3 linked regions of the Sus scrofa genome follow. The protein of the gene in region 2 interacts with the protein of the main gene of each other region in a biochemical or structural test. Links are inferred from orthologs where the notes say so. Each region holds a gene or a part of one and is shown on either strand. Other genes may lie near its edges. The genes, in order: UBE2C, RNF7 and UBE2F.

Evidence for each region.
Region 1: the proteins of RNF7 (region 2) and UBE2C form a complex in vitro, tested with the Homo sapiens proteins (4 studies listed by BioGRID). The link is inferred for Sus scrofa from reciprocal best matches to the Homo sapiens genes RNF7 and UBE2C.
Region 3: the proteins of RNF7 (region 2) and UBE2F form a complex in vitro, tested with the Homo sapiens proteins (10 studies listed by BioGRID, with this or other methods). The link is inferred for Sus scrofa from reciprocal best matches to the Homo sapiens genes RNF7 and UBE2F.

Annotation. Positions count from the first base shown.
Region 1 is NC_010459.5:48,016,061-48,021,775, reverse strand, and holds UBE2C (ubiquitin-conjugating enzyme E2 C), read right to left. Parts: upstream 3,374-5,715; 5' UTR 3,288-3,373; coding exon 3,187-3,287; intron 2,644-3,186; coding exon 2,616-2,643; intron 1,841-2,615; coding exon 1,754-1,840; intron 1,322-1,753; coding exon 1,117-1,321; intron 1,004-1,116; coding exon 944-1,003; intron 507-943; coding exon 448-506; 3' UTR 234-447; downstream 1-233. Other genes in the region: DNTTIP1 (deoxynucleotidyltransferase terminal-interacting protein 1), read right to left, coding at 4,443-4,581, 4,695-4,750. UniProt on the Homo sapiens protein: Accepts ubiquitin from the E1 complex and catalyzes its covalent attachment to other proteins. In vitro catalyzes 'Lys-11'- and 'Lys-48'-linked polyubiquitination.
Region 2 is NC_010455.5:82,546,422-82,552,389, reverse strand, and holds the start of RNF7 (RING-box protein 2), read right to left. Parts: upstream 3,916-5,968; 5' UTR 3,771-3,915; coding exon 3,596-3,770; intron 1-3,595. UniProt on the Homo sapiens protein: Catalytic component of multiple cullin-5-RING E3 ubiquitin-protein ligase complexes (ECS complexes), which mediate the ubiquitination and subsequent proteasomal degradation of target proteins.
Region 3 is NC_010457.5:137,564,905-137,570,886, reverse strand, and holds the start of UBE2F (NEDD8-conjugating enzyme UBE2F), read right to left. Parts: upstream 3,634-5,982; 5' UTR 3,488-3,633; intron 3,277-3,487; exon of another isoform or gene 2,898-3,276; intron 1-2,897. UniProt on the Homo sapiens protein: Accepts the ubiquitin-like protein NEDD8 from the UBA3-NAE1 E1 complex and catalyzes its covalent attachment to other proteins. Together with the E3 ubiquitin ligase RNF7/RBX2, specifically neddylates cullin-5 (CUL5).

The sequences.
Region 1 (5,715 bases), on a different chromosome or scaffold from region 2:
CTCCATAGAAATCGGCATTTTGCGACGCCCATCTTACAGATGAGGAAACAGATGCAGAGTCATAAAATAACCAAAGTCACAGGGGACGAATTCTATGACCCCACTGCTCAGCCCTCCAGCCTCTCAGCTGCTCCTACACCCTGGGTAGAGGAGCAGGGCCAGAACCCAGACCCTAAGCCCGACCTCTGCAGAGCCTGAGCACTTCCAACCCTAGGGTGACTAGGGGACATAACTTGTTTAAAAACCCCCAAATGTATTTATTTAATATATTCATCACAAGGGCTTAGCCGGACACTTAATTTAAAAAAACAGAAACAAAAATGACAGCACAGATAAGGTATACACAGATAAGGTACAGAGTCCTGTACAGAAATCAAGGAAAGGACAGACCATCTAAGGAAAAATAATAAAAAAAGACAACACAGGGAGAGAGCTGGACAGCCTGGGTCAGGGCTCCTGGCTGGAGACCTGCTTGGAGTAGGTTTCCTGCAGGTACTTCTTAAAGGCTGGAAGAGAACGAGGAGGTCTCAGTAAGCCATGGGCACAAGGGTTAAGGTTGGCAAGAGGGCAGCAAGGATACAGCTGTGGGAGGAGTTTGGGGGGTTGGGGAAGGGTTTCCCAGCCCAACAGAACTGTCCCCCGGCTGCCCACCCAGCTGGGGAGGAGACTTGGGGCCCTCAGCAAGCAAGTTGTTCGCACAAAGCTTTGCCTTCTACTGAAAAAGCCCCTCAACCTACATGAATGCGACAAATTCTGATTTTATAGCAAACAGGCAAACCAGAAACACCAAGGCAGAGGTGGAACTGGGTTACCTGGTTGAACCCCCCCCACCCCCCAGTCATCCAGACACATTCCCAAGTCACTGGAATCCTTCAGTAGCTGGGGGGAGCCTTTGATGGTTGGGGAGGGATGGCTCGGTGCCTGAGAAGGATGAAGGACCCACCTGTGGGGTTTTTCCAGAGCTCGGCGGCATGTGTGTTCAGAGGGCTATCGATGTTGGGTTCTGTGGATGGAGACAAAGAGCAAGGTCAGGTCGGGGTAGAAGAGGCTAGAAGAGGCTGTCCAACCCGGGAACAGGCTCCCAGGTTGGGGGGGAGAGGCCGTCTCCGCAGTCACCTCCGAGCAGGCTCTGGATGGAGAGCAGGATGGTCCTGACGTCATACAGGGCGGACCACTTGTCTTTCAGGATGTCCAGGCAGATGTTTCCTTGGGTGTCCACGTTGGGGTGGTAGCAGGGCGTGAGGAACTTCACTGTGGGCGCGTTGTAAGGGTAGCCGCTGGGGAACTCCAGAGAGAGCTTATACCTCAGGTCTTCATATACCTGGAGAGAGAGAGACTGGGGAGTAAGCCTCTTTGCCTGAGCCTCAGTTCCAGCTCAGGCCCCACGTAAGGGGCTTGTCAAGACCCCCGAGTTTGTCTGGGACTCGGCAGAAGACAAAGCATTAAACTGGTGGTGCCTTCCCGCCTAGCTGGTGGGACATTGCGACCCTTTGGGCGAGGGCCCACTGGCCTAAACCCTCAATTGCCCTTCATTCTTTTCCTTGCCGTCTGGCCCCTGGAAGTAGCTAAGATGGAGACCCCGCCTTACTGCGCGGATGGAGAGCAGGGCCACAGGCTCAGGGCTCCAGGAAGACACAGGGGAGTGTCCCACCAGGTGAGAAGACTCAACGCAGAACTGGCACCTGGATTTCACCTCCCACCTCTCCCCAGACTCTGCAGAGTCACCCTCACCTACTCCGACCCCTACACTTACTGTGCCGGCTGCTCCATGGATGGTCCCCACCCATTTGAAAAGGTTGTCTGACTCAGGGAAGGCAGAAATTCCTTTGTCGCCAGACATCTGGGGAAGAAACACAACACTTGCTGGGCTGAAGAGTGAGTGTGCTCTTGCAGGGGAGGGTGTGGGTGAGGGAGCCCCTGCCCCTTAACCTCATCACATCTGGACCCAGAATGGAGCAACCAGGCCAAATTGATTGATAGGCTCTTCTGAGGAAGTGGGGAGATCCTGGGGGCTGAATGTGCCCCCCGGGAGGACTGGGATTAGGTTTATCACCAGCCTAAGAGGGAGGGGTTGTGTGGGGGAAGAAGAAGGCAGCTTTGTATCCACAATTTTGCTGGTTGCTGGGAATTCAATTTGACATGCCATTGAGTGCTGGTTGGACACAAAGCCCAGAGACTATTCACAGGCTGGGAAGATAAACAGCGTGGGCACTGAAGGATTTGAGTTGAATATCCAGGGTTAATGTAGAAAAGACTGGCCCGAAGGAAGCATTCCAAGGTAGGATGGGATTAGAAATATTTAGGATGAAGAGTTGGGTGTAGGTAAATTTTAGGACAGGGAAGTAGAGCCAGGAAGGACAGAGGGAAGGCCTCGTAAGAGAGCTGTACTTTAAGGATAACTTCTTTGTGGCAAGATGGGACTGGGAGTAAAGATGCCTGGGGGGAAGATGTGTAGGTGGGGTGTGTTAACTTCTTCCCAGAGGAGAGCAAGCTGGACTCATCTTTTTACCCCATGCCTATCAAAGAGCCGGAGCTAGGAAAGGAGGCTACTGATAAGTGACTGGGAGGTGGGAGGGGAGACCAACTGGTTGGGTATCCGGGCACCAGTCACTTACCATGAGGGTCATCAGTTCCTGCTGTAGCCTGTGAAAAGAGCATCTGGGGGTCATCTGAGAGTCCAGGGCTCCAGGAGGTGCATCTCTTCCCATCCCAATCTCTCTGGAGCAGCTGTCACGGAGGTTTCCCTCTACCCTGAGGTCGGACTTAGCTGTGGGCATGGTCACCCCCATTTCCACAGGGGGGTCTTAGTGAGTCCACACCCTTCCTAATGCCAGGCTCCCGGAAGGAGAGCTCTGGCTTATTCTTAACCCCTAATTCTGCTTCTCTGGCGTCTCTCTCTGTGCAGGATCTCAATTTCTCACCTTCTAGCCCCCTTCCCCGCCGCCCTCCAGCCAAGCCACAGAGGGTCCCCAGGGCATCTTCATCTTGGCTCATCCACGGAGGATCCTGGCAGCATCCCTACCCCTTCTGTCGTCCTTCAGAAGTAGGCGATCTCCTGGCGTGTACCTCTACCTCTCATACCTCAGCTGCTCCAGGAGAATGTGGGGGTCCCCGGAAGTCTTTGCTCTGGGCTTCAAATGCCTAGGGCGTGCCAGGCCCGGCAAGTGTTCCCTCGGCACCACTCACCTCTTGCCCACGGGGCCCCGAGCGGCACCCCCGCTGGGCTCGGCTCCTTTACGGGCGGCCGCGAAACTGGCGGCGGCTGGGTCGCGGTTCTGGGAAGCCATCTGGGCAGCGCTGGGAGGGAGACAGGATCTCAGGGTATCCGGAGACCACGGCTGCAACTGCAGGGCCGCGGTCCCGCCCGCCCGCGTTTGAATTGTAACCCTCCGGAGGTGCCGGCCAATCAGTGGCTCGCTTGGGTTTAATCCAGCCAATGGGGCGCTCTGTCACTGCTGCATCCACCCACCAGCGCACCACTATTGGGCGGCTGGATCCCTCTTCAGATGGGCGATTGGTAAGAGAGGCTGTCATTAACTAACGAATCTGTAGTGGATTGGTGGCCTTTGGAAAACGCCGACCATTAAATGGCCTAGAAGACATCCACGTGGGATGAATCCCTTGGCTACTACCGCACGCCGGCTTAGGACTCCCTGCTCGCAGAAGGGAGGGTCTCCGATTTCGGGGCCCTGGTACTTATCCCCCAAACCGGATACCCCAGCTCCTCCACTTGTTATTAATGTCCTGGGCACTTTGGTTAGGGCCTTAAGGGTCTGAACCGTCAGGCGAGGGTAAAAACTAGTGGCCGAGGGCCAGAGCCAGAGACCCCCTACTGGAAAACAGGTTCAACGGTGGCCTCTCCAACGGCTTCCTGTGCTACCCTAGGCACTTAATTTCGTGTTTTAACCTTAAAACGGGGGTAATAAAAGCCGCCTTACATTTTCCTGCTGGTTTGTCATCAAATGTCCATGATCCCAGCCGTCACATTCTGCTACTCCCATGCCTTAGTTGGGTGAGGAGATAAACAGGGACAGGAAAGGCTGGCAGCAAGGTACAGGCTGTTCCCAGTTTCTCACGGAGCAGATACGCACAGGCCACTGGGCTTCCTGGGATGGGGGAGGGGTGCTTGGGCCTTTATTCCCTACACCCACTTCCTCTAGGGAGAGCCCTTGATATTTTGTCAGCCCCCAGAGGCAGACTTCACAGCAGGCTCACCATCTGTGTTTATTACAAACTGTTTAATTGCTTCTTATCCCAAAAACTTTACAAATATAGAACCACATGCCAGTCTGGGGGTGCTCTGCAGTGAGTCACTACAAACTAGCCCAGGCATAGCTTAATGCTGCTGAGATCCATCTAGAAGCAGTCCCAGCAGTGACCTCAGCCATGTGGGTAAGAGGGCCTTAAAGGAGGGCTGCCAAGTGTAGCCAGGGGACCTGGCTTCAGGTCTGTGGAGGTGCTTCAACAGCGCGGTGCTCGTTCTCTGTCCGTAGTGTCTCCATGTACTTTCGCATCTTCTCAACCATCCAGGAGGGTAGGACAAAGGACTTCAGCTCCTCTAACTTCAGGTCCAGGCATCCTCTGGGACAGACATTGAAGAGGAGAGTTGGAGCAAGGGAAGATGTAGGTCCAGGCTCATCCCAGGGGCTACTGTGAGGCAGGGGGAAGGGTAGGGGACAGACCGCTGGTTTTACCTGTAGTCATCGCTGGCAGCGAGGTCCCGGATGTCCTCCTCAATGAGGAGGTAGGCCTGGGGCAGGAACAAAGGAGAGTGGTCACTGCCTATGATTCGTTTCATTCCAACTCAATTAACACTTTATTAAACGTCTGCTTAAGGTAAGGGCTAGAAGGGAGGAGTGGAGTCATAGCTTGTAATTTAGCAAGGGAGAGCAAGAAGGGAGAGGCTGTCTGGGGAATAGTTTCTTGAGATAATTTTTCTTTCAAGTAGAGACTAATTTATGGGCCGGAGAGTGGGGATTACTGACTTATTTTTGGCTGTCACCTCTTTAAAAAAGGGCCATGGGGTGGCTTACAGTGAAAGAGCCACAGAGCTAGCAAAATAAACATGGAAACAGGAAGTCAGGAGGAAGCCACGTGTGAACTCTTGAATGAAGATAATTTGGTTTTGAACTTCATGGCAAAAGGGAAAACACGATAAACCACACTGTCTAGTAACTGGGCTATGCTGTCCTGGGGCCTGCAGAACTGCTCTGGCCCCAGGCCGCCATCTGCAGGGGGAGGGAGCCCGCTTGTGAGGGCTCTTACCACATGGGGGATGTTGATCACATGCGAAAGTCTTCTGTGGAAGACATTTCTTTCCAGTGTGAGGGTCAAGAGTAATTGTGTGTCCCCTGAGTCATACGACTGTCTTCATCTTAGGGGCACTGTGAACTATGAAACAGATCAGGTGTCCTTAAGTGGGGCCTGGAGCTGAATTTGTAAAAACCTGTAGAAGGGCACTGGTCTCCCAGGCTGGCAAGTAATCCCATGCCATTCCCCACCCCCACCCTCCTTTTTTAAAACCAGTCTTGTTTGTGGCTTATTTTAGATCCTGCTTTTCCTTTTCTCCCTTTTTCTTATTTATATTATGTGTCAATGGTAAGCTTCCTGATGTCTTTTTTGAAAGAGTATAGCATAGACACCAAAAGATAGCTTCCACTGTCAGAAAGGAGATGGCATAGTGGTTTCTGCGACTAAGTGAATCCTCAGGTGGGG
Region 2 (5,968 bases):
TTTTTTTGGCCGCACTGGCAACATATGGAAGTTCCCAAGGCAGGGATCAAATCCAAGCTGCAGCTGTGACCTACAGCTGTGGCAATGCCAGATCCTTAACCCACTGTGCCAGAGTGGGAACTCCTTTATATGCTATATGAAAATTAAATGTAAAAAAACTCCCAAATACCTAGTTCTCTTTTTTTAGTTTTTAAGGAAATGCTCCCTTTACAAATATGTCTGAGGCCAAAGCATTTACCTAATGGTAAAGTATTTTAATAAATTACTTGGGAGTAAATATGAGGAGTGGGAACAAAAGGGCATACTACAAGTTTTCAAAATTCAGTCAGTATTAATTGCTTGATGGAGGTAATAAAGAATATTGTAAGAACCAATTAAATGGATTCATTCACTAGCTGAAAGGAGTCAAACCTGGGTAAAAGGAAGTTTAAACCAACAGAAAAAATAAGTTTTAAACATAAATTGGAGAAAAATAATTCTGTAAAAATAGAAATAGTGGAGTTGAAGCCTGCTTCTCTTCTTACATTAGATTTTGCTCAGGCATTTGTTTGCACCACTCTGCATGGTCTTCCCTTAAAAAACCACACCACCCTGGCCTCTTCAGTGTGGATTACAAACAACCAACATCTCCTGACGACTTCTTCAATTCCACAATTACTGAGTATTTCCTCTGTGCAAAGAGTTATGCCCTCAGGACACCAAAATGATCGAGTCTGGATCCCTGCTCTCACCAGCAAATGGGGAGGTAGAGAGGCAAACAACTACATATAAGGATCATGATATCAGGGTGAAGACAAGGCCCTGATTCTGTGCAATCAGAGAATTACAGTTAATGACCCCAATTGCCTTTTTTACAAATTGGGAAAACAAGGCTCCAAAAGGTTATGTCAAATGTCCCAGTTAACATGCAGCTCTCGGTTTTTTTTTTTTTTTGGTCTTTTTTACCTTTTCTAGGGTTGCTCCCGTGTAATACGGAGGTTCCCAGGCTAGGGGTCTAATCGGAGCTGCAGCCACTGGCCTACACCAGAGCCACAGCAACTCGGGATCCGAGCCGCATCTGTGACCTACACCACAGCTCATAGCAACACTGGATCCTTAACCCATTGAGCAAGGCCAGGGATCGAACCTCATGGTTCCTAGTCAGATTCGTTAACCACTGAGCCACAACGGGAACTCCAGCTCTCGCTCTTTATACCTCTACAGTACTAGCAAACCTATTCCCCTTTTCCTTGTCAGTGCTTGCTCACTGTGTCATTTGCTCCTTTCAGAATGAAGGGGGTGGGGGTGGGGAAGAGTGGAAACAAGGAAGTGTTAACTACATCAGAATGGGTGGACAGGTAAATCTTAGATCAAGAAGTCATAAAAATTTTGAAATAACCTACAATGGAAAAGAATCTGAAAAAAAAAGTGTGTGTGTGTGTGTATTTGAATCACTTTGCTGTACACCTGAAACACTTTTAATCAACTACAATAAATTTTTTTAAAAAAGAAGTCATAACAAATCATTTAGATGTATGAGATGAATTCTGAATTCCAAATATTAAGGAAGTGGGATTAGATAGGCTCTTTGTAGAATCTAAAAATCTCTGAATTATGCTTATAGCTTTGATTTAATTATTTAAAAAAAAAACAACTGACCTAAATGTATAAAAATTCCTAAAGTTTCAGATAAAAGAAAACATTTTTCCTTTGGTGATATTCCTAATATCTAAAACAGCACATTTCTAAGGAGTACAATAACAGTAACACCTTTAAGAATGACGCTACCCTAAGGATTGGCAAGTCTATAAAACTTCCTTCTGCCGTCACCTGACCACTAAGTGGATTTTAACACCTTATAATCAAAATATAGAGGTCTAGTCCAGAATACTTTCCTGAATCCAAAGTACAGCTGTTGTAAATCTGCAACATTAATCCACAGTAGCGGAATACTTGCTATAATTAGAAAGTTAATGTGCCTGTTAAGTCATTTAGAGCCCATACTTTGACCAGGAAGGTTTATTTGCTGCCAAATTTCAACCATTATTTAAAACTCTGCATTTCTATTTACAAATTTAAAATTTTTCCCTGGGGAGAAGAAGAAAATAACCTTTCAGAAAAACCTCTTTTTTTAATCACTTAGGGGATAAAATTTTTAACAAAGTTTTTTCTCATAAAAGAACAAAAATTGTTTGGATAAGTCAAAAATGCCACTCAAAGCAGAAATTATGATTTCAGTTTTTAAGTAAGGAGTAGGGTAAGGGGGCTGTATTGCAGGCCAATAAACAAGGTATTTTTAAAACCTAATATGCAAAACACGTGGATCATGTCTGAAATAAAATTCTTTTAAAAGTAAAAAAATAAATATATGATATCTCATTGTTGTAAATCTGCTTTTAAAATGAGTCCTTATTTTATGAATAAAAAACAAGAAAACATACTACAGAGAGGGTAAATGAAGAAACCTCTTGATTCTGGCAGTTCTGAATTTTCATTCCTCAAGAAGGGAGAGTGATTTTTTTTTTTTTTTTAGATTTTATTTTTTCTTTTATAGTTGATTTGGTTCCTAGTCGGATTCATTTCTGCTGCGCCACGAAGGGAACTCCTTATAGTTGATTTGAGAGCAATTTTTGAGTTATTTTCTCCAAAACTCTGATTTTTCGGTTTAAGATGTAAAAGCTTTCAAACTATAGAAACCTCGGTTTCATTTAAGATGCTCTCACAGTGATTTTAAATGCCCTATTAAAAAAAATAAGGATGCATTTAAACAGCATCTCTTTTTCAAGGTGTTCTGAGATCTTAGAACAGAAACCATATAAAATATAACAGGATGAAGCTGTCCCGAAAGGTTTCACTTGGTCCAATATTTTTAAAAAAATTTATAGAAAGAAGTGACTTATTTGTAAAAGAAAATTCTCCACAAAGGCCTATCAGGACACTGTCTTCTCCAGGAAATGGCATCCTTTGATAGCGTAGGGCCAGGAATGAGATTAAAATTTATGTTTCTGAATAAAGGGCTTAACATTCTTCTTCAAGACAAGCTACTGCCATCTGACCAGTCTTGAATCATCCAAGTTTTAAAGCCAGCAGAACAGTAGCTAATCCCGAAAGGCAACAGCTAGGGACACTTCTTTCCTGCGCCTCTCCGGAACAAGACTAAGAGTCATTACTGTGGAAGATGACTCCAGAGCATCACTCTGGTGTGTGAAAAGAAGCATTAAAACGACCCGCTGACTCAGGGCCTTGACCGTGACCTCTACAGTTTGCTTTTAGAAAAGGGTGGCGAGGTTGGGCCCACAAACCAAAGTGGTGCCTCGCAGCTCCCATCAACTCACCTACTTTTATTGTCTTGACCACACCCATCACTACCTGAAATTACCTTTTTAACTGCCCTGCTTTCCACCTGTTTCGTTCCCCAGACTACCAGTCCCCGTCGCCGGCCGCAGCCCTCCGACTAGCAGCAGCACGGGCGTGGCCCCAGTCTTTCGCTCCCAGGCAGGGCGACCCCGCCCCTATACCTCCAGGAACAGTCTCTCCGAGGCTCGGTGTGTCCCACGGGCCGGAGCTGGGCCCGCGGAGGCCGCAGCACAGCCAGGGTCTCGAGTGCAGCGCTTACCCATCACCTGGACCCTGCAGATGGCGCACGTATCGCACTCCACGTCCCAGCTCCACATGGCCACCGCGTTCCACTTCTTCAGAGAGAACATCTTGTCGCCTCCCGACTTGGTTCCTGAGCTACCGGAGTGAGAGGACAGGGCGCAGGGCTCCTCGCCGTCTTCCACGTCTGCCATGGCGGCGGCGCGAAGCCGGCGGCGGAGACGTTAGGTTGCGGAAGGCGGGCGACTATGGCGGCTCCCTGGGGCCCCTCGCCGGGCCACAGCGCCGCCCGCAGGCTGCGGGCCACCGTGGGGCCTACGACGGAGGCCGCCCGAGACTGGCTGGCGCGTCCCAGTGACGTCACCGCCCCCGCGCCCTGGGCCCGGCCCGCTCCGACTCTTTGGCCAAGAATGGGCGCCGCGCTCAGGAGGGTTGCCGGTGCAGGAAGCAGGTGTTCTGCTTTATGCCTTCGTGACCCTTCTGGCTCTCACAAGTTGTCATATTGATGTACTCCCTTCCTAAATGAAAACGCCATCGGAGCGAGGACGTGACTTGATCACCACCTTCTCCTGGGTATGTGAAAAATGCCTGGCCTCAGGAGGGGTAGTTATTTGTTGAGTGAATGAATGACTATCTTTTAGAAATCTGGTTCAGCCGTTCTCAAACTTTTTGGTCTTGGCACCCCTTTACACTTAAGAATCACTGGAACATTAAAGAACTTTCGGTTTGTAAAATATGTGTACACACAAACACACACTTTTTTTTTAAGAAATACGAAAAAAATTTTAATGTATTCACTTAAAAAATAACCATAGGAGTTCCTGTTGTGGTTAAGCGATGAGGAACCCGACTAGTATCTAGTATACATGAGAATGCAGGTTCAATCCCTGGCCTTGCTCAGTGGATCGGTGTTGTTGTGAGCTGTGGTGTAGGCTGGTAGCTGTATCCGATTCAGCCCCTAGCCTGGGAACTTCCATATGCCACAGGTGTGCCCCCACCCCCCGCCCCCGCAAGGAAAAGCAATAAACCCATTACAAGTAATCATTAGAACAAGGATATCACATATCTTGTAGCTTTTATAAAACTCCACTGTATACTCACAGGAGAAAGTGAAGAGAAATAGCGGTGAATATTGTTATGCAAATACTTTTGACCTTGTTTCCCCTGAAAGGATCCCAGGAACCCCCGGGGACCACACTCTGAGAACCTCTATCTAGTCCAACATCCTCCTTTTATTGATAGGAATGTTGAGGTCCAGAAAAATAAGATAAAGACACACCATTATTCCCTAAAGGTAACTGTTTTGAATCCAGGGTTCTTCTGCATCTAGCCCGGGGTCATATTATTATGTTTTCCCAAGCAAAGCAGATAACATCTCTATTTAAATAAGAAAGCTGTGGTATGGAGAGCCCACGAAGATGCCTGATCACCACTACCACCTAGTGGTGGACACCTGCTGTGTCGGGTTTGGAATTCAGAGCCTCCCACCTTTTCCTACTGGGCCTCATCCCCTCCTCTCCTGATGTCTGGATGGGGGCTAGAAGCTCCAGAAATCTGGCGGAGGAGGCAAGGAAGCATATATGTGTGAAAATATAAATGTGGATACATTTGGGTCACATTTGGCTAGATGCTGATGGAAGAGGTGACGTTTGAACTGGGGGAAGATGGGAGGCATCGGAGGCCCGGAAGTGGGTGGAGAAAGCAAACCTCTGCAAGGCTGTCAGGTTGAACAGAGCAGTAGTAGTGGTGGCAGATGTAAAGTTGACCCCACTAAGTTTATGAGCCAGACAAAAATGCCTGTAAACAAACCCAGATGAACCATAAAGGACACACATTTTACTCACATTAAGCTACCACACATCTGACTAGAGATGCTATAAATGCCAGATAGTTAATTTAAAAAAGAAGGCTAGAACCAGATGAGGATAAAATGCCCCCAGTTGGGGGGAACTGGGCAGTTTGAAAGAGAAAAGGAGGGAACTCAGATGAAAGGCTAGAGGATGATTAAGAATGAGAAATGGTAGGAGTTCCCTCTCATGGCTCAGTGGGTTAAGGACCTGGCATTGTCACTGCTCTGGCTCAGGTTACAGCTGTAGTATGTTCAATCCCTGTCCCTTCTGCATGCCCTGGGTGTGGCCAAAAAAGAAGGGGACAAGGAATGGTACATGCTTATGCCTCATCTGAACCTCTTCACTCTGTTCCTGGCTTATTGTGTCCTGACTTCTTGTCTGGCCTCCCCATTCAATCTAAAGTGCCTGTTTAATCTGCTTAGATCCCCCTTTCCACCTGACACTAGCCTGCTCAAAATGTTCCATGGCTCTCCATTATCATCAGAACAAAATCTAAATGTCCCAGCTGGTCCTTTAAATCCTGCCACAGTATGGCCCCAACC
Region 3 (5,982 bases), on a different chromosome or scaffold from region 2:
CATCCTACCGAATCTGCCTTCTCTACGTGAGCCACCCTTCACCTGGCAGGCCTCCTAGCCCTTCTCGCTTGTTTTACCAGCTGGAGAGAAGTTCTGGAACTTCTTTTGATTGAGGATGAAAATTGGTCACCAGCTCAACATTCCCATACTTTCCTTTGTGGCTTTAACATAATTTCCTTCTGATACCACTCTGATCATTTTCAAAAGAAAATGATCTAAAACTTCCGGATGAAAAACGGACGTGAGCACACAACGCTTGGTTTGAGTTCAAGATCTTTAAAGGCGAACCGTGAGAGTAACCTACTCCCACTGGTATTTTTAACCACTCTAACCCAGGTCCTCACAGAGCTTTTACACCATCTTCTGTGTACCCTCCAGCCCTTAAAGACGGTCGGACTTCATTTTCTGTTATGTGTACCATGAAAACAACGTATTAAATATGGCCTTTTGAACTAACTGCACAGGACCCACGCACAGACACACACACGCCTGGTCCCCTCATGCACCCCTGGTCTAAGTGCTTCAAGAGACAGTTCCACCTGACAGGAGCGCTCACAAGCTCCTAGAATTTCCAATCTGGGGAGGACTTCTCCCCCAGATCCCACTCTTTGTCATGGGTGTGGACCCTGGGACACCTGGGGCCCAGGAACTGGGCTGTCGGAGGCCACTCAGAGGCTACAAGAGGTCACCGCAGACCCGCTCGTTTCCCTCTGAGGATGACGGGAATGTTTCCGCCCCGAACAAGGGGGTGATTTCAGGCTATACACACACCAAAGTCCGATCAAACTGCATGTTTAAATATGTACAGGTCAGCGTGCTTCAGCTGTCCCTCAGTCAAGGTGACGAGACGTGACAGTTTCTTCACTCCCACTCTGCCACGCTCTCTCCTCAGCTGGACCTACACGGAGGACCAAACCACCAACGCTCAGCTCAGCTTCACCTGCGGCAGGAACCAGGGGCTCACAAAGGAAGCTCACCAGGGAGGGCGCCGGGGAGCCAGGAACGCCTGTGGGGGCTCAGCCCACAAGCCACCAGAGGCCGCAGCACCGTCTGGAGCCGGGCGCTCCTGGTCGGCCTCCACCCGCACCATCTGGCCCGCGATCCCTCGCGCAGGTCTGGATCCCAAGCAGTGTGTCCCCCCCCCCAGCAAGCCCCTGCCTCGCACCCACGCCTGAGCACATGGATGCGTCGCCTGATGATAGGCCGAGAGATGCAGCTGTCACAGGTCCACTTGGTCTTCAGCCGCTAGCGGACCCTGGCACTACGCACACGGCCAGCAACAAAGCCCAGCACCGGTAGAGAGAGCTCGGCAGGCGGCAGCCCGGGAAAGTCCTCCTACGGGGCCCGGCGGGAAAGCGGGTCCCAGGGCACGCGACTGGTCCACGCTCAGCTCCTTGAGCACCTGCACAGGAGGAGATGCTCAGAGGGTCCCGGCAAGACTCACACACACACACACAAAGGCTCACACCCGGACACTCTTCCGTGTCGCTGCAGTTGGAGGTCCCTGCTTAATTCGCGTCTCCTCACTACCCCATCCTGAACTCTTCGCTGCAGGCAGAGTGTGCCCCATACTCAATCCCATTTTGAGTCAGACTGCTGGTTTGCAACTCTCAACAAGTTTATGGCCCTTAATAAAATACACTGGGCACTGGCTGTGCAAGACAGAAGAAAATAACACCGGTGCTTTGTTTTCCTCAGGAAGACAAGACTTATTTTCCTAACATTCTAAGCCATCTACACACGGGGACCATCTATCCTCCAGCGCCTGTCCCTCTCCCACACACGCCACTTCGGGACAAACCAAAGGTCTAATCTGGGACTACTTCAGCTGTTAAATTAAGTCTATACAAAGAGATCTGAACAAAAATAATTATTCAAGCTGTCAATTAACGGAACACCTGCAGTTTGCTTCAGAAGTCTCTCCTTAACTATGCTTCCCGCCTTGCAGGACTGGTTCAAAACTAAGCTTCCCCTTCACTGCAAATGACACTTTGACGAGGGCAGCATTTTCAGTAACAACAGATCAACTACACAGAAGAGCACCCACAGTCTCTAACTCCACTAGTTGAAATCGGGCCATTTAAGTTCTTCCTCTGGGCGGGACGTGCTCTCAGACTGTTCAGAGATTCTGCTGTGCTATTTCCTAGTCTCATCCTCAAGTGTTTACTCAGTGCTCCTGCCCGTTGTGGCCAAATCAGGTCCGGGTGACCGTCAGCTCAGTGGGTGGGGAACTCCTCGTTTACAATTCTTCCTGCCCTGGACAAGTCCCAATCGAAGCTTAAAAGATGGAACTGCAGGTCACTAGGGGACAACCCACATCTCCAGCCAAAGCGGCCCAGATCGGGACACACAAAAGTCCACACCCCACCCTCCCTCTTTAAAACGCCAGGGCAAGGTGGCTGGCTGCCCAGTGACCTTTGGAGCCCAGCCCTTTAATTTTAGCGGTAAACCTGCCGCCTCCTGAGTGGCAGCTGTGTCGGGGGTGGAGGTCCTCAAGTCCAGACCACCTAGGTGGCCGTGGTCTCTCTCTCTGAACACGGCTCCCACCATTCCGGTCCCCTGCCTTCACCCCCTTGCCCAGCCAGGGGCCTCTGCACGAGGGAGGTGGGCCTCCTCCGTGTTCCTCGCCAACCCCGGCTCATTTCTGGAAGCTTCTGCTCAATCTGATATCCAGGTCTGGAAGGCCCTCCCTCCCTTCGCCGCCCCTAATGCTGCTTCTTTAGGATAACAGGCTCCTCCATCTCCTCCACGAAGCCTTCTCTGGCCACTCCAGTCCCTCCCGACCCCACTCCGGCGCTGGACGGAGGCAGAGAGGGGCGGGCCCGATCCGCTCCGGGGACAGAAGGAAGAGGCAACCGCGACCCAGGGAGCCGAGGGCCACACCCAAGATTACACACCAGCGGAACCAGGTCTAGAATCCGGGACTGGGCCGTAGGGATTGGTCCAGGATGTCCTCCCCCATTCTGGGCCCCGGCAAGATCCTCCACCCTAGCCGTGCTGCCCCGGGTTGTCCGGAGGCCGCCCGCAAGTTGGCGGGGCGGGAGCCCGGCTCCTCCGCACCCGCACCGCCCCCTGGCCTAGCCCGATTCCCCGGGAGGCCGGGAGGCCGCCCGCCCGCGCCCGACTCCCGCTGCCTCCGGCCACGTCGGGCCGGTGACCTTGGGCCCGCTGGGCGCTGCGCTTCCTCCCCGACAATGCGGCCGCAGCTCCCCCGCGACGGCGGCCACAAGCGAGGCCGTGTGTGCCCGGCACAGGTCGGGGCTCCGGGAGGGCCGGCCCTCCAGCCCCGCCGCGGCCCGCGCCCCGGCCCGCGCCCCGCAGCGCCCGCCCACCGGCCCTCGGGCCCCGGCGCCCGGTCGTGAGGAGCGGCGCGGCCTGAGGCGGCCCCGGCGCCGCCCGCCCGCCGGGTGCACCGGCGCCGCGGGAACCGAGCCGTCCTCTGGCCGGCGGCCGCCCCTCGCTCGCCGCAGGGCCGCGCGCTCCTCACCTGGGCACCCGGAGACAGGCGAGGCGGGACCGGCGCCCAACACCATGCCCGGCCGGCCGGCGGCGGCGAAGCGCAGCCCCTCACAGCAGCACCGGCTCCGGGCGGCGGGACCGGAAGTAGCGGGGCGGGGACTCTGCCGCTCTCGCCCGCGGCGGCCGCAACAGCAGCTGGCGCTTTAAAAAAAAAATTCAAAGCCGCGAAGAACTTTATTTAGAGACTGACACGCGAACAGCAGAGCCAGCGGGCCGGGGCCGGGGTAGGCAGCCGGCAGATCCGGCCCCTCTCATTGGCAAGGAGCGCGGCTGGGGGGCGGGCACGAGCCTGAAGGCCTCCGATGATTGGCCAATGGCGTCCGGGGGCGGGATCTCCAAGTCCTTTCCGCAGCGGCGCGGGTTCCTTTGCGCTGCGTTCCTGCTTTCATTCATTTGGTCGTTTGGTAGGCCTGGGCCTGCGGCTCAGAGGTTCCCCGCGCAGCGTGGCCTGCTGGGGCTGCCAGGTCCGAACTGACTGCCCCGGTGGATGGGGTGCCCGCTATGTGCCCATCCCAGGGCTCAGGGTGCAGAGGACCAGGCCGCCCCACAGTCCGCGGTGTCAGGAGTGAGGGGGGCGGGGCGATTAGACCTGCAGCCACCAACCCCCAACCCCGGGAAGCCTCGGGGAGCCTGCAGTGGAGTGGGTGGGCTCTTTCCTGTTGTCTTAGGGTTTATTCCTTCTATTATCTCTTACACTTCCGTGACGTACTTACTTTAAAAAAATCCATTTCAAGTTGTTCTAATTTCTGGTTTGCTGAGTACTAATTATTCTCAAGTTCAGGTGTGTCTGGTTAATAGGTGCTCTGGCGGGGGTCGCCAGCCTCCTGGAGGAGTGAGCCATCTGAGAGAAGAGGTTCACCTCGTGGACGGGGAAGAAAGAGGCAAGGAGTTAGAATTTTATTTCCAGAAGTCCCACTGAGAGGTTTTAAACAGTGGAGTGGCAATTTCAAGTTTCTTTTCCAAAAGAGCCTTCTGGCTCTGAGGGAGCTGGTGGGAGGGGAGCCAGACAAGAGTCAGGAAGACCAGTTAAGAACAAAATTCATGGGATTCCTTCTGTCTGGGAACAGCTTCGTCCATCTTCACTGGGCTACCTCCTAAATTTTCCCATGCTTGGATCCACCTGCTCCGAGTGGTAAGGTGCAGGTGCCCCTCTGTGACTTTGCTGGACCTCCGTGCTCTCCTCTCCCTGGTGCTCAAGACTGTTGATGCCCGTTTCCCTATGCTCAGCTCCTCAGGCCTCCTCATCTGTGTTTCCCACCCTTCTAACCTCCTCCCCAAACCTGGTACATAACCGGGTCAAAACACATTGCTGGATAAGGGCTGCGTGTTTGTAGCCAGAGTCCTGGCGAGAGAAGATAAGACCTTGAAGCAGGGCAGCGAGTGAAGGCACACGTGGGTTGGCTTGAGCGCTTGTCTTACTAAGGAGAATTGTCTACACACCGTTCTGAGCCCACAGTGGCCCACCTCTCACTGCTGTGGGCAAATGAAGCCGCTTCTAGCTCCATTTCATGAGGCTGCCTCGTGCCTTCACCCGAGCCTTATTTAGGGTTTACTAGGCTCGGAAGTCCTGTAATCCTCACAGCAACCTCATGAAACGGGTATTTTATTATCTCCACCTTACAGATGAGGAAGCTCAGAAGTTACGTGTCTGCCCGACATGGCAGAGCTGGGATTTGCCCTCAACCAGTGCACCACGTCCCTTGGGCAGCAGGTGCGGCCATCAGCCAGGACTGCGGCAGAGTTGGCGTCCTGCTTCCTGGAGAAGCAATTTGTTTTCAACCAGGGCTCTTTCAGAAACAGAACTTTCACTGGCTTAAGCACAAAAGATTCAGAAGACTAGACATGCTCAGAGACTCTAAGGAGAGAACGGGGAGCCTGGCCTCCAGCTCTCAGTGCCTCCATCTGGGTCTTGGCCTGGGACAGGGGCAGTGGCGGGGCTGGCCTTCTCCTCCCAGATGCCTCCAGAACTGGGGTCTGGCTTCAAACACACCTTTATAAACCAGGCCATAGAGGGGCCGTCTCTTCCCTTCCAGTTTCACATTCTCTGGGAGAGAATGGCTGGGTTCAGATCATGTGCTCACCGTGTGTGTGTGTGTGTGTGTGTGTGTGTGTGTGTGTGTGTGTGTGTGTGTGTGTGTGTGTGTGTGTGTGTGTGTGTGTGTGTGTGTGTGTGTGTGTGTGTGTGTGTGTGTGTGTGTGTGTGTGTGTGTGTGTGTGTGTGTGTGTGTGTGTGTGTGTGTGTGTGTGTGTGTGTGTGTGTGTGTGTGTAAGCCCATACATACAGGAGGAGGGGGAAGAGGACCAATTGTGGGCCTACGATAGGGAAGAACCTTTGTATTCTGTTACAAGTTAATCAGTAAAGGCATGGTGCCTATAAGCTTAAATTATACACAATGGCCCATCTCTGGGGACCTCGCCTCCCAGCAATGAGCATCGCACTCAAATGCCTTTGTTTCCTTCCGA